2 linked regions of the Drosophila melanogaster genome follow. The protein of the gene in region 1 interacts with the protein of each later gene in a pairwise test. Each region holds a gene or a part of one and is shown on either strand. Other genes may lie near its edges.

What was found.
Region 2: the proteins of CG42238 (region 1) and CG9609 interact in a two-hybrid assay, tested with the Drosophila melanogaster proteins (one large-scale study listed by BioGRID).

Annotation. Positions count from the first base shown.
Region 1 is NT_033779.5:21,048,396-21,054,102, forward strand, and holds the start of CG42238 (uncharacterized protein), read right to left. Parts: upstream 3,589-5,707; 5' UTR 3,465-3,588; coding exon 3,379-3,464; intron 3,028-3,378; exon of another isoform or gene 2,608-3,027; intron 1-2,607. Other genes in the region: Itgbn (integrin betanu subunit), read left to right, coding at 4,739-4,826, 4,890-4,966, 5,063-5,249.
Region 2 is NC_004354.4:16,784,615-16,789,127, forward strand, and holds CG9609 (uncharacterized protein), read right to left. Parts: upstream 2,395-4,513; 5' UTR 2,137-2,394; coding exon 1,951-2,136; intron 1,891-1,950; coding exon 865-1,890; 3' UTR 501-864; downstream 1-500. Other genes in the region: mRpL22 (mitochondrial ribosomal protein L22), read left to right, coding at 1-17, 132-349; Sap30 (SIN3-associated polypeptide 30), read left to right, coding at 3,336-3,728, 3,953-4,081.

The sequences.
Region 1 (5,707 bases):
ATTCTTGTGCGACGAGAACTTCTACGTTGATACACCACAGAACAACACATGCCTGGAACACCTTTTGAACGGAGAAAACAGTTCCTGCGATGTACGGGAAACCGGCCCCATCACCGACGTGTTCGAGGCAGAGAGAGGTTACATCTTCGCATTCAACGTGAACAAACTGAAGGTATCCCTAACAAACGGCTCCGAGCTCTCAATAATGGGGTCAGCCATCATCAGATACATTAACGAAACAATACAGATTAACGGTATCGATTACGACGGCACGGTTGACACGTTCCCTGAACAGACGGATTTTGATCTTCCCCCCATGCGAAAAGTAACTAGGAATACCACTATTACGGTACTAAGCCTAGAAAAACTGCACCTCGAAGCCACCCAAACAATGGATAAAATCCTGGCCGTCCATCACAATACTATACAGCACACCTGGACACTCTACACTCTGCTCGGATTGGTAACGTTCCTAGCAGTCATCTTATGGCTGCACCGACGAACGAAACACATCGTCCACATCCACGAGGATCATCACGTACCAATCTACGCGTCATCCATACCTTCGCTATGGCCGTCACTTCGAACTGGGGGGGGAGGAGTTACCACCCCACCCCCTAAACCCCCACGCCTCTAAACAAATCATCGGACACTCAACCGGGAAGACGGCAACTGGAACACCGCATCCGGCCGAATGCTGACATTACTCAAAAGTCGCACTGCAACATTGTCCCCAGCTAGCCAGCCACATGCCGAGTCGGCATGTTCATTATGCTTACAATTAAGAACCTATGTACTTATGTATAAGATGAAAACGGAGGATTCGAGTAGCCACTTTCTGACAATAAACTACACACTGATTTTGAACTTCAAGAAAGTCAGTCGTATTCTTTATTGGAAATCTTCACACTACAACTATCTGCTGAAACTTAAAAACCTTCATACATTTACACATCATATCTTCACAAAAGGCTCCACCCTCGATCACGGACTTAACTCGTGCACCTAGAGTGCCATTCCCCAGGGAAAACTGGACAGGGCACCGGGAAAATAATAGGTCTACCGTAGGTTAAGGGGTTGAAAAACAATGCACTAGCGTTTTCCATGGGCAAGGATGTAAAAGAGTGCATAAGTACATTTTATATATTATAGTTAATATAAGCAAACTATGCTCACTCTGTTGTTTGGCAACACTTCCAGAGATTCCTTATCAATATTAATGCTGTCAATTTAAGCTTCGCATTTGAATGTAAAAAGATATATAAGACATTTGATAGGATTAGGCTTCAAACGTAATATTGTTATTATAACTTTTTAATTTTATAAATGCCTCCCGTATTTCGTTCGCCAAGTTAAGCATTAATAATCCATTTAGCTGCAACTACTAATCTTCCCGGGACCCCAACTGCCTGCCCTAATTCCTCCTCATTTGGAACAGCCTCCAAATGTGAATTCTTCCTTGGTTTTATGGTTCCCGCTTTGTCCTCGTGTCATGCGGCAGGACATTAGGCAGGCAAATCACGTAAATTATGACCGGGCCACTATAATTTCTTATCGCCGGGACATGATTTCAAATGATAGACTGCGGAAAAGACTGGAATGAAGGCATCGCAGAGCCCTCGGGCAAAGATTTTAGTAGGCGCGACAAGTTTTTTTTTTTTGCATTTGCATATGTACATATGCATGTGTGTACATAAATATACATACAAACATTGGATTGGAGGAGTAGGAGGCTTTGGAAGGTGGACTGCAATTGGCAACTGGCGCAACGCATAAATTGAGAATTTTAATCTAATCCGCGGCATCTGGGAGACGCGTACATTAGCTGGCACCAGTCTGTCCCGTTCCGATCCGATCCGTCCCGTCCCGTCCCGTCCTGTCCAATCCCGTCTGGTCTTGTACGCTCTGGACGGGGGTCTCTTGGACCGCTTTTTGGATCGGATTGAAATCGCTCCGAGTCTCTGGGACTGGCCAAAAAGCAGCGCCTGCGACTACGAGTACGGCGACAATCGACAGGCAATAAATCACCCAAAGTTGCCAAAGAAATTTATGCGCAGCAGATTAGGATCGCGAAAAGCTTCATTAGAATACATTTTCATTGGAAAATGAGCGCCCGGCTAAGTGAAGCGAACGAATTGATGAGGAACAACTCTGTTAAATTCAAGTTGCAATAATTATGGATTCTGACGTTTGGAAATTCCTCAATGAATTTTATAGTTTAAAAAAATGAGTACTATATAAATGTGCATGCATACGAGCTCTTTTTTAATTTAACCAGTTTTCAAAAAATAACTGAAAAAGGGCACAGGCAAAAGTATACACACATTGCTCTTGCTGGGAGAATATGGACAATATACTAGATTATAGATATGTACATAGCTATTTGTCAAAGTTCAAATATGACTTGTCAGGAGCTAGTCCTCCAATCTGGAAATAATTCCACATAGCTTGTATCTGCTTCATTTTTCATAATGTTTTGTACTTCGTAGATTGAGTTAGGTAGTAGTCATTGCTCATACCAACAACCTAAGAACATAATTTTCTATTCGATAAGTTAAATATTACGATAGATAGAAAACCCTTGGGGAATTGGAAGTTTAAACTTACCTTTTCTCGCTTTCGTCTCTAAGTCTGCTGCGTCCTCTTCCACACTGCTCCTTGTTCTTGTTCTTCGGAAGTCCTGTTCTTTATATCTCAGGACATTAATGATTAATCCCAGCGTCGTCTGCTCTCCCCTATCGCTTTTTTGTTGTTTTTGTTGCTGTGCGTGTGCCGTTATTGGCGGTATAATCCAATAATCCAACACGAAACAGCGTGTGCAGTGGGAATTGCAAAAACTAGAGAGACACAGCCACACACACACAAACACATGTAGACTCAACCGCCTACACACACGCACACAGTTTAGCCGCTTTGTTTAGTAAATTAAACTTTTCACTTTTCTCTGCCACGGAAAACCAAAATGGACAATTTTCTTATTCAATTTCAGTTTCTGTTTTCCTTTCCTTAGTTTTTCTGCTTTCTTTTCTTATTTTTCCAATCACAAAAACACAGATTAGCATAGACAAAAGCAAAAGCAAAGGCAACAACATCCAAACACACAAAACAAAAGCAAATGCACGACGCCTACAACAACAGCAACAACAAAGCGCCGCCGTAGTACACAAAAAATTCCTTTTTCGCTGCGCGTCGTCTCCTTGCAGATATTCATATATATATATATATTTATTTATGTATGTATGTGTATATGTACATTTTTATATTCCACAGAGCAATTCTATTTTGCTTACTTTTTTAATGACTTTTTCACCTTTGATTTTTTTGCCGCACTTTAATTTGACTGCATACTTTACATCTCCATCTCTATCGCACACTCACCGTTTAATTGAGAAAAACACACACGATCTCGTCAATTGGTCGCGTATTTGTCGCCGCTCATTTGGTAAACATTTGGAGTTTTTCATCCGATTTTCCGCTACAAACACAAAAAATGCGAAACTCCGCGCTCCGCTCCAAAGCTGAACCGTTCCGATTGAAAATCGTCCGCTGTACGACCCCGCGATTTGAAAATTTTTCGCCGACTGGCCGTTTCATGAGTGTTTCAGTATTTTGCTGCGTCTTTTTACCCACGATTTTGGTCACACTACTGCGCCATCCATCTCTTGTTCACACAGCCATTTCATAAAATGAAAGAAGAGGACAACAACATAATGGTAAAAATGTTTTTTCTCCGCGGGGTTGGTCACAGGATAGTAAGACCATGGCTCGGCTGGAGAATTATACCGCCCGAAGAGAGTAAGAGAGCACTAACTTAAGACCAGTTTTGACAAATTGAGCCTAACAGTGTGACCAGTAATTTCCTAATAAAATCGTTATTCTGACTTATATATTAAATAATTTAAATTCTATTTTACGTTTAAAATCATAAAAGCAATCTGAAAAACACAAGACTAACATTATGCCAACCGATAGTCCTATTCATTGTGTTATTTAATACAAATTTTTCTAAGAGAAGACTTGCACTAAATGAACAAAATTTTTTTTATTAAATTTGTATAGTTTTGCTTATGTGTAGCTGTTGGTTTGTTGTTGTTTGCTTTAGACTCTTTCATATGAATTCGTCTTGGTTTATTTTAGTATTTTCGGTCCCTTACAAGCTCTGACGGCTACAAAACTTGTGGCTCCACATATTTAAAGTACAAATATGTAACCCCTTCTCTACCATTAAATGGGAGCTGGTCTATAATATATTTCTAATGGGATGGAATTTTTAAAACAACTAGACATAAAAGTATACTTTAAGGTTTTGATTGTGACTAAATATGATATCTAAATAAATAAAGAAATGGATCTCCAAATAAATATACATATATTATGTATATACTTTCCAAACACTAATATTTATTTAAACAAAACATAAGAACGATAGCAGTGCATTTTTTATGTCTTAAAATGTAGTGAGTTAGACAACACGTGAATGAAATTTGCTTTCTTTTATTATCACTTATTACTCTCATTTATTTTTAAGAGTGCCATTTATTCTAATCACATCATTTTCCCAATAACTTCTCACATTTTTTGTCACTCTCTCCTGATAAGATACGAGCGGAGCAATCAACGTTTTTCGTACTGAACAAATATTAGTTACGCTGGACTTCTAAGGCCGAACGGTCGCTAGCTCCCTTAGCAAAAAAAATATATGTGATCGTTGGTAGTGAAAATTGCACGCATTTTGAAAATGACGTCACTGGGCGGAAGGGCGTTCTTGTGGATATATTTGGTTTTTCTAATAGCTGAGATCTCTCATTCGGATGCAGATTCAATTGGTTTGTTAGCCGGCAGCTTTGACGTGACATAACGGATTTGTTATCGCCATCTCTTTTACGCAGATGATCAGTGCAGGCACGCAGACAGCTGCGAAAGATGTTTATCCGCTCATCTGGAATGCGCTTGGTGCACGGACAAGGTGAGTACGAGGGAGATGGCAAGAAAACATAAACGGTTCCTACTGCTGCTGTCATCCTTGCGAAGTCAATCATTTTCCTATTTGGTTGCATATCAGGAATACCAGGTGGGATATCGTTGTCTCTCTCGCCGGCAACTACTTAACTACAACTGCAGTGAAACGGATATATACGAGAACCAGCCGGTCCTAGATGTCCTTCAGGATAAGCCCCTAAAGGACTACGAAACCAGTGATCAGGCTGTCCAAGTCACACCCCAGCGGGCATACCTTAAGTTGGTCAAAGGTGTGTGTTTGGATAATTGTTTTATTTAGCTTTTCTTATCTTATCAAATTTGATTTATCATGTGGCTACCAACACTTTTTCATGTGTGTCACCCTTCCAATTCTTCCCCACTACTTCGTATTTGTTCCACATTTGCTCCACATCATTTTTAAACATTTTGTTTTTGTGTCCGTGCTTTGCTTATCAGGCCTTGGTGGTTGTCACATCTTGTTATTGTTGTACCATTTAGCGTGGGAATACCTATCCCTCTCTTTCTTTCCGCCGTCCTTGTCCAACACTTTTGAAAGTTCACTGACCCAAAGACATTATAATAATTATAATCTAATGTCTGATTGAAAACCCACTTTATAGGTATTGAGATACTTACCTTATAAGTATTGTGATCCCAGAACTAATAGATTATGTATTCGTTGTCGTGCTGAATAAGCGAGCAAAAATGAGTCACAAGAATGTGCTTT
Region 2 (4,513 bases), on another chromosome or scaffold:
GAGCAATCTGTGGATAGGTGAGCCGCAGGGGCACAAGGAATCTATGTATCCACTATGAATGATGGATTATCATTAGTTTCTTCATCACTAACCATTATATTGATGAATCTTTGTCTGTTCTTACCTACCAGCCGAATCCTTCGTGGGCAAGGGACGCGTCTTCAAGGGCGTGAGGCGGCATGCTCGCGGTCGCTTCGGCAAAGTGGAGTACAAGCACTGCCACTACTTCGTGCGCCTGGAGGAGGGCGAGCCGCCGCAGCACTACTACCAGGAGCCGCAGACGCCGGAGCAGCAGTACGAGAGCTGGATGGAGCAGATGCGAAGCCGGAAGATCATCAACTCGCTGTAGCCACCTGAATTGGCACTCGTATGCAATCGATCCGCACTCCTGCAGTCCTCCATCGCCATCGCGTCCACGCGCATTAAGCATTTTTTTTGGTTTTAGAAGATTGTTTAATAAAATAGAAACAGACAAAAGAACTATGTCAGAGGTTCATATTGTTCTTATTTTTACTTAGAGGAGTTTATTTTATTTAGTTTTGCGCGTATATACACAATGGATATTATTGGTTTTCTCTCTGGATGCCCGAGAGTTTCGGAACTCTAGTTGAAGTCAGGGAATGTTTGCAACTGTAAGCTTAAAGTAAATAAACTAATTCGCTCCAGGCGAATACTACTAATAATAGCTTACTAATTTATGCAAATTAATGCAATTTCGGATGTTTCTGAACGCAAATCCTAAGTATTTACTGATAAATTAGTTGTTTCTCTTTTAGAAGTTGTGGTTTAAATTAAAGTAGTCATTCAATTGTTAGCCTCTTGACCAGACCTTCTCACTCCCGTCCCTTTGAATGGCCTTTTGCTCTACTCCTGCTCCTTTTCCTCTTCATCCTGCAGGGTCTGTGCCAGCAGCTCCTCGACGGGGTCATCCTTCAGCGACTGGGTGATCTTTTCGAGGACCAAAGGCTGTCGCTCGCGCACCGCCTCATCATCTTCCTTGTCCAATTGCAGGCAGGCCAGTTTGGATAGCCTCGAATGTTTGCTGCGTCCAGCATCGCGTCGTCGCTTGCGGGATGTGGACTTAGTTTTGCCCCCTTCTCCAGTCTTACTCTTGTCCTTCTTCTTGGCTTTCAATTCCTTTTTCGTCGCACCATCTTTGTGATCCCTGAGCAGATGTCTCGCCAGATTCTGCGCACTGCTGAAACAGCGGCCGCAGTCCAAGGCCTGGCACTCGAAACGCCTGCCCGAGTGGGCGGTGAGCATGTGCTGGCGTAGATTCCTGAGGTACGAGTAACTCTTGCCGCATCCCTCCTCGTTGCAGGTGAAGGAGGTGGCGCACTCATCCGTCTGCGCCGCCTCCTTGTGCTTCACCTCGAGGTGACGCTTCAGTTCGCTCGGCTTGTCGAAGGCACTATCGCAGCGGTCGCACTTATGGCGATTCTTGCCGTGCAACGAGTCGCGACAATGCTTCGTATACAACGTCCATTTGTCGAACTGCAGCGGGCAGCCGGGACACTCGTACAGCTTGCAGCTGGGCTCGTGACTCTGGCACTGCCACTGCTGGTAGAAGCCGCGCGAGCACTTCGAGCAGCTGTACGGATACTCCAGCGTGTGCTCCCTGATCTCGTGGCGCTTCAGCTTGAGCTTTTGCGAGAATTTGGCACTGCACTGGCTGCACGGATAGACCTTTGGGCTCTCGTGGGTTTCGCGCATGTGGCGGGTCATGTTGCTAACCGAGATGAACATCTTGCTGCACTCCTCCAGCGCGCACTTCACCGTCTTCTTGGCCGCCGACTCCGGACGCTCGTGGGTGCTGCGCAGATGCCTCTTTAAGTGCGTCACAATCGAGTACGTCTTGTCGCAACCCTCGTACGAGCAGGCGTGCTTCTTCTGCAAAGTGGTGGCGGCGTTACTACTGGCTTACACTTAACATACTCTAACTATACTCACAATCCCTGTGTGATGATACTCATGGCGATCCAATTGGTCCAGCCGCTTGAATGTGGCCTCGCATTTGGGCATGCTGCACGCGTACTTGGCCGAGCCGATGCTGTTGCGGCGTCCCTGGCGCTGCTTGAACTCCTCCAGAGCGGTCTCCATATCGCTGTCGCTGGCAATTTGCGTTCCAGGCGGCATTTTTGAGGGTTTTTATCTCCGAAATATTGCAATCTCTTTTTTTTTTGTGTTTTAGGTTACCGCGACATCCGCAAATGTCGTGGAATTATTTGGCCACACTCGTGTACGTGGAAATAGCCAAGGACTTAAGGTTGAAGAGATTGATTTTATTTCAATTTGGTGTAGCAAATCTATAACTTATAGGTTTCTTTTAATTTGGTGTAGAAAATCGATGATGTCCCTGGTAAGCGTTTATGATTTCGTTTTTGGAGAGATGGTAGATTTTTTGGTATTTTTCCAGGGCTGGAAATTGCTGCCTAGCAGTGTTGTACTGCAACAACTGAATAAGATGTACGATACGTTATCGAAAACGTTACATTGGTCACATTATTATTCATTTATTCAAAATATAATTGTCACATACGTTATAGCTAAGATTTTTTTTAATGTGCCTGGGAAAAGTTTGCAGTAACCCCGTTGTTTATTTGCAGAAAATTCTGCGTATTCCTTTTCCCAGTCTTTTTGAATGATTCTGTTTAATTCTCCAACTCACTACGGTGAAAATTCCTTGCGTCGATGCATTTAACAAATATATGCTTGTTAGTCCCCCGTCTCAGAAACTACAATCAAGAATTGGTCTGAAGACGAGTATAATAATATTCTATATAGACAAGCAGTCAGATACGCCTGAGAAAAAGGAAATTCAAATTTCATTGCACTAACGTGAGCTAGTGATGACAAAAACGGTAATTGGCTCAACTATCGTACCGGTGTGCGGTACCTATCGGAATTGGAATCAATGCTGGAAAAGGTAACTATATTTTGGTACACGGTATTTTTAAATTTAAGTACTGAAATTAACTAATATTTATTTAATTAATATTTTGTGCGATTATTAATACCAATTAAAAAATATTGATCGATAATCTGGAAAAAAATGCACTTGATATTTAAGATATTTGAGAAACTGCAAACAGTTTCAAATTGTCCGCTCTTGCCAGCTGCGGAGGAATTTCCCCATTTCCCAGTTTGGTCACATCGCGCTGTCGAAAGAAAATTTTTTTCTTGCAAAGAGAAACAAAGCAAAGCAATAGTCGAAAGTGAGAAAGACGAAAGAGGAGACAAAGGAGCGAAACGGAGAAAATCAGAGAAGCAGCAAGCAGAGCAGGAAGGGGGATTGGATAGGAACTCGAAAGCAATCGGCCAGGATCGGGAACAGGATGAACAACGGATTCAGCACCGGCGAGGAGGACAGTCGCGGGCACACGGACCAAACGTGCTGCCTAATCGACGACATGGAGCGGTGTCGCAACCAGGCTGGCTACGCCAGCTACTCCAAGCGCATCCAGAAGACGGTGGCCCAAAAGCGGCTCAAGCTCAGCAGCGATCCGGCCGCGCAGCACATTTACATCTGTGACCACCACAAGGAGCGCATCCAGTCGGTGCGCACCAAGCGTCGGCGCAAGGACAGCGAGGACGACAGCAACGAGACGGACACGGACCTGCACGAGTTCCCCGATCTCTACCAGCTGGGCGTGAGCACGCTGCGACGCTACAAGCGCCACTTCAAGGTCCAAACGAGGCAGGGCATGAAGCGGGCGCAGCTGGCGGATGTAAGTTTGACCTAGTTAACGAATTGAGCAGGCTATGTCCACTTTCTGTTGCCGGATTTCAGTGGGGTAACACGCTGGTCTAATGTGCTCCGTGATGCTCCATAGTTGGCCCTCTTGTAGTAGCCTCCACTCTAAAGAAAAGGCAGAAAAATGTGCCATGCCCTTTATAAGGTTTTCTAAACCCTGTTTTAATCAAGTTGCAAACCTCTACTCTTCTCCCGCAGACAATTATGAAACACTTCAAGACAATACCCATCAAGGAGAAGGAGATCATCACATTCTTCGTGTACATGGTGAAGATGGGCTCGAATAAGCTGGACCAGAAGAACGGCCTTGGCAACGACACCACCTGAAGGCGCGTCGGCGGGCGGAGGGAGGAGGAGGACGCCGACGACGTCTACTCCTTTTAACGCTGGCCAACTGCCGATCAAAAGAAATTAACAACCAAACTTCTCACATTGTTGCTGCATTTGCTGGACGTCGGCATTGTTGACCAGAATAGGGATGAACGAGAATATTGATAGTGCAATGGCTCATCCTCATCCGTGTGACCCCCAAGAAACCCAATCCTATACCCATAAGCCACCACTGCCCAAACCCTTAAGCCTTTCCCCCGACTCCCCGGAACACAAGTAATATGCGAAAAGTAAAACAGCAATGAAAGAACGTAAGGAAGAAGGCAACTGGTGCTCCCACGAAAAACAAAACAAACAAAAATTAAAAATAAATAAACTAGTATGTTGCGAAAGTGAGTCTAATATTAAAAAAGAAATTTACAAAAACTA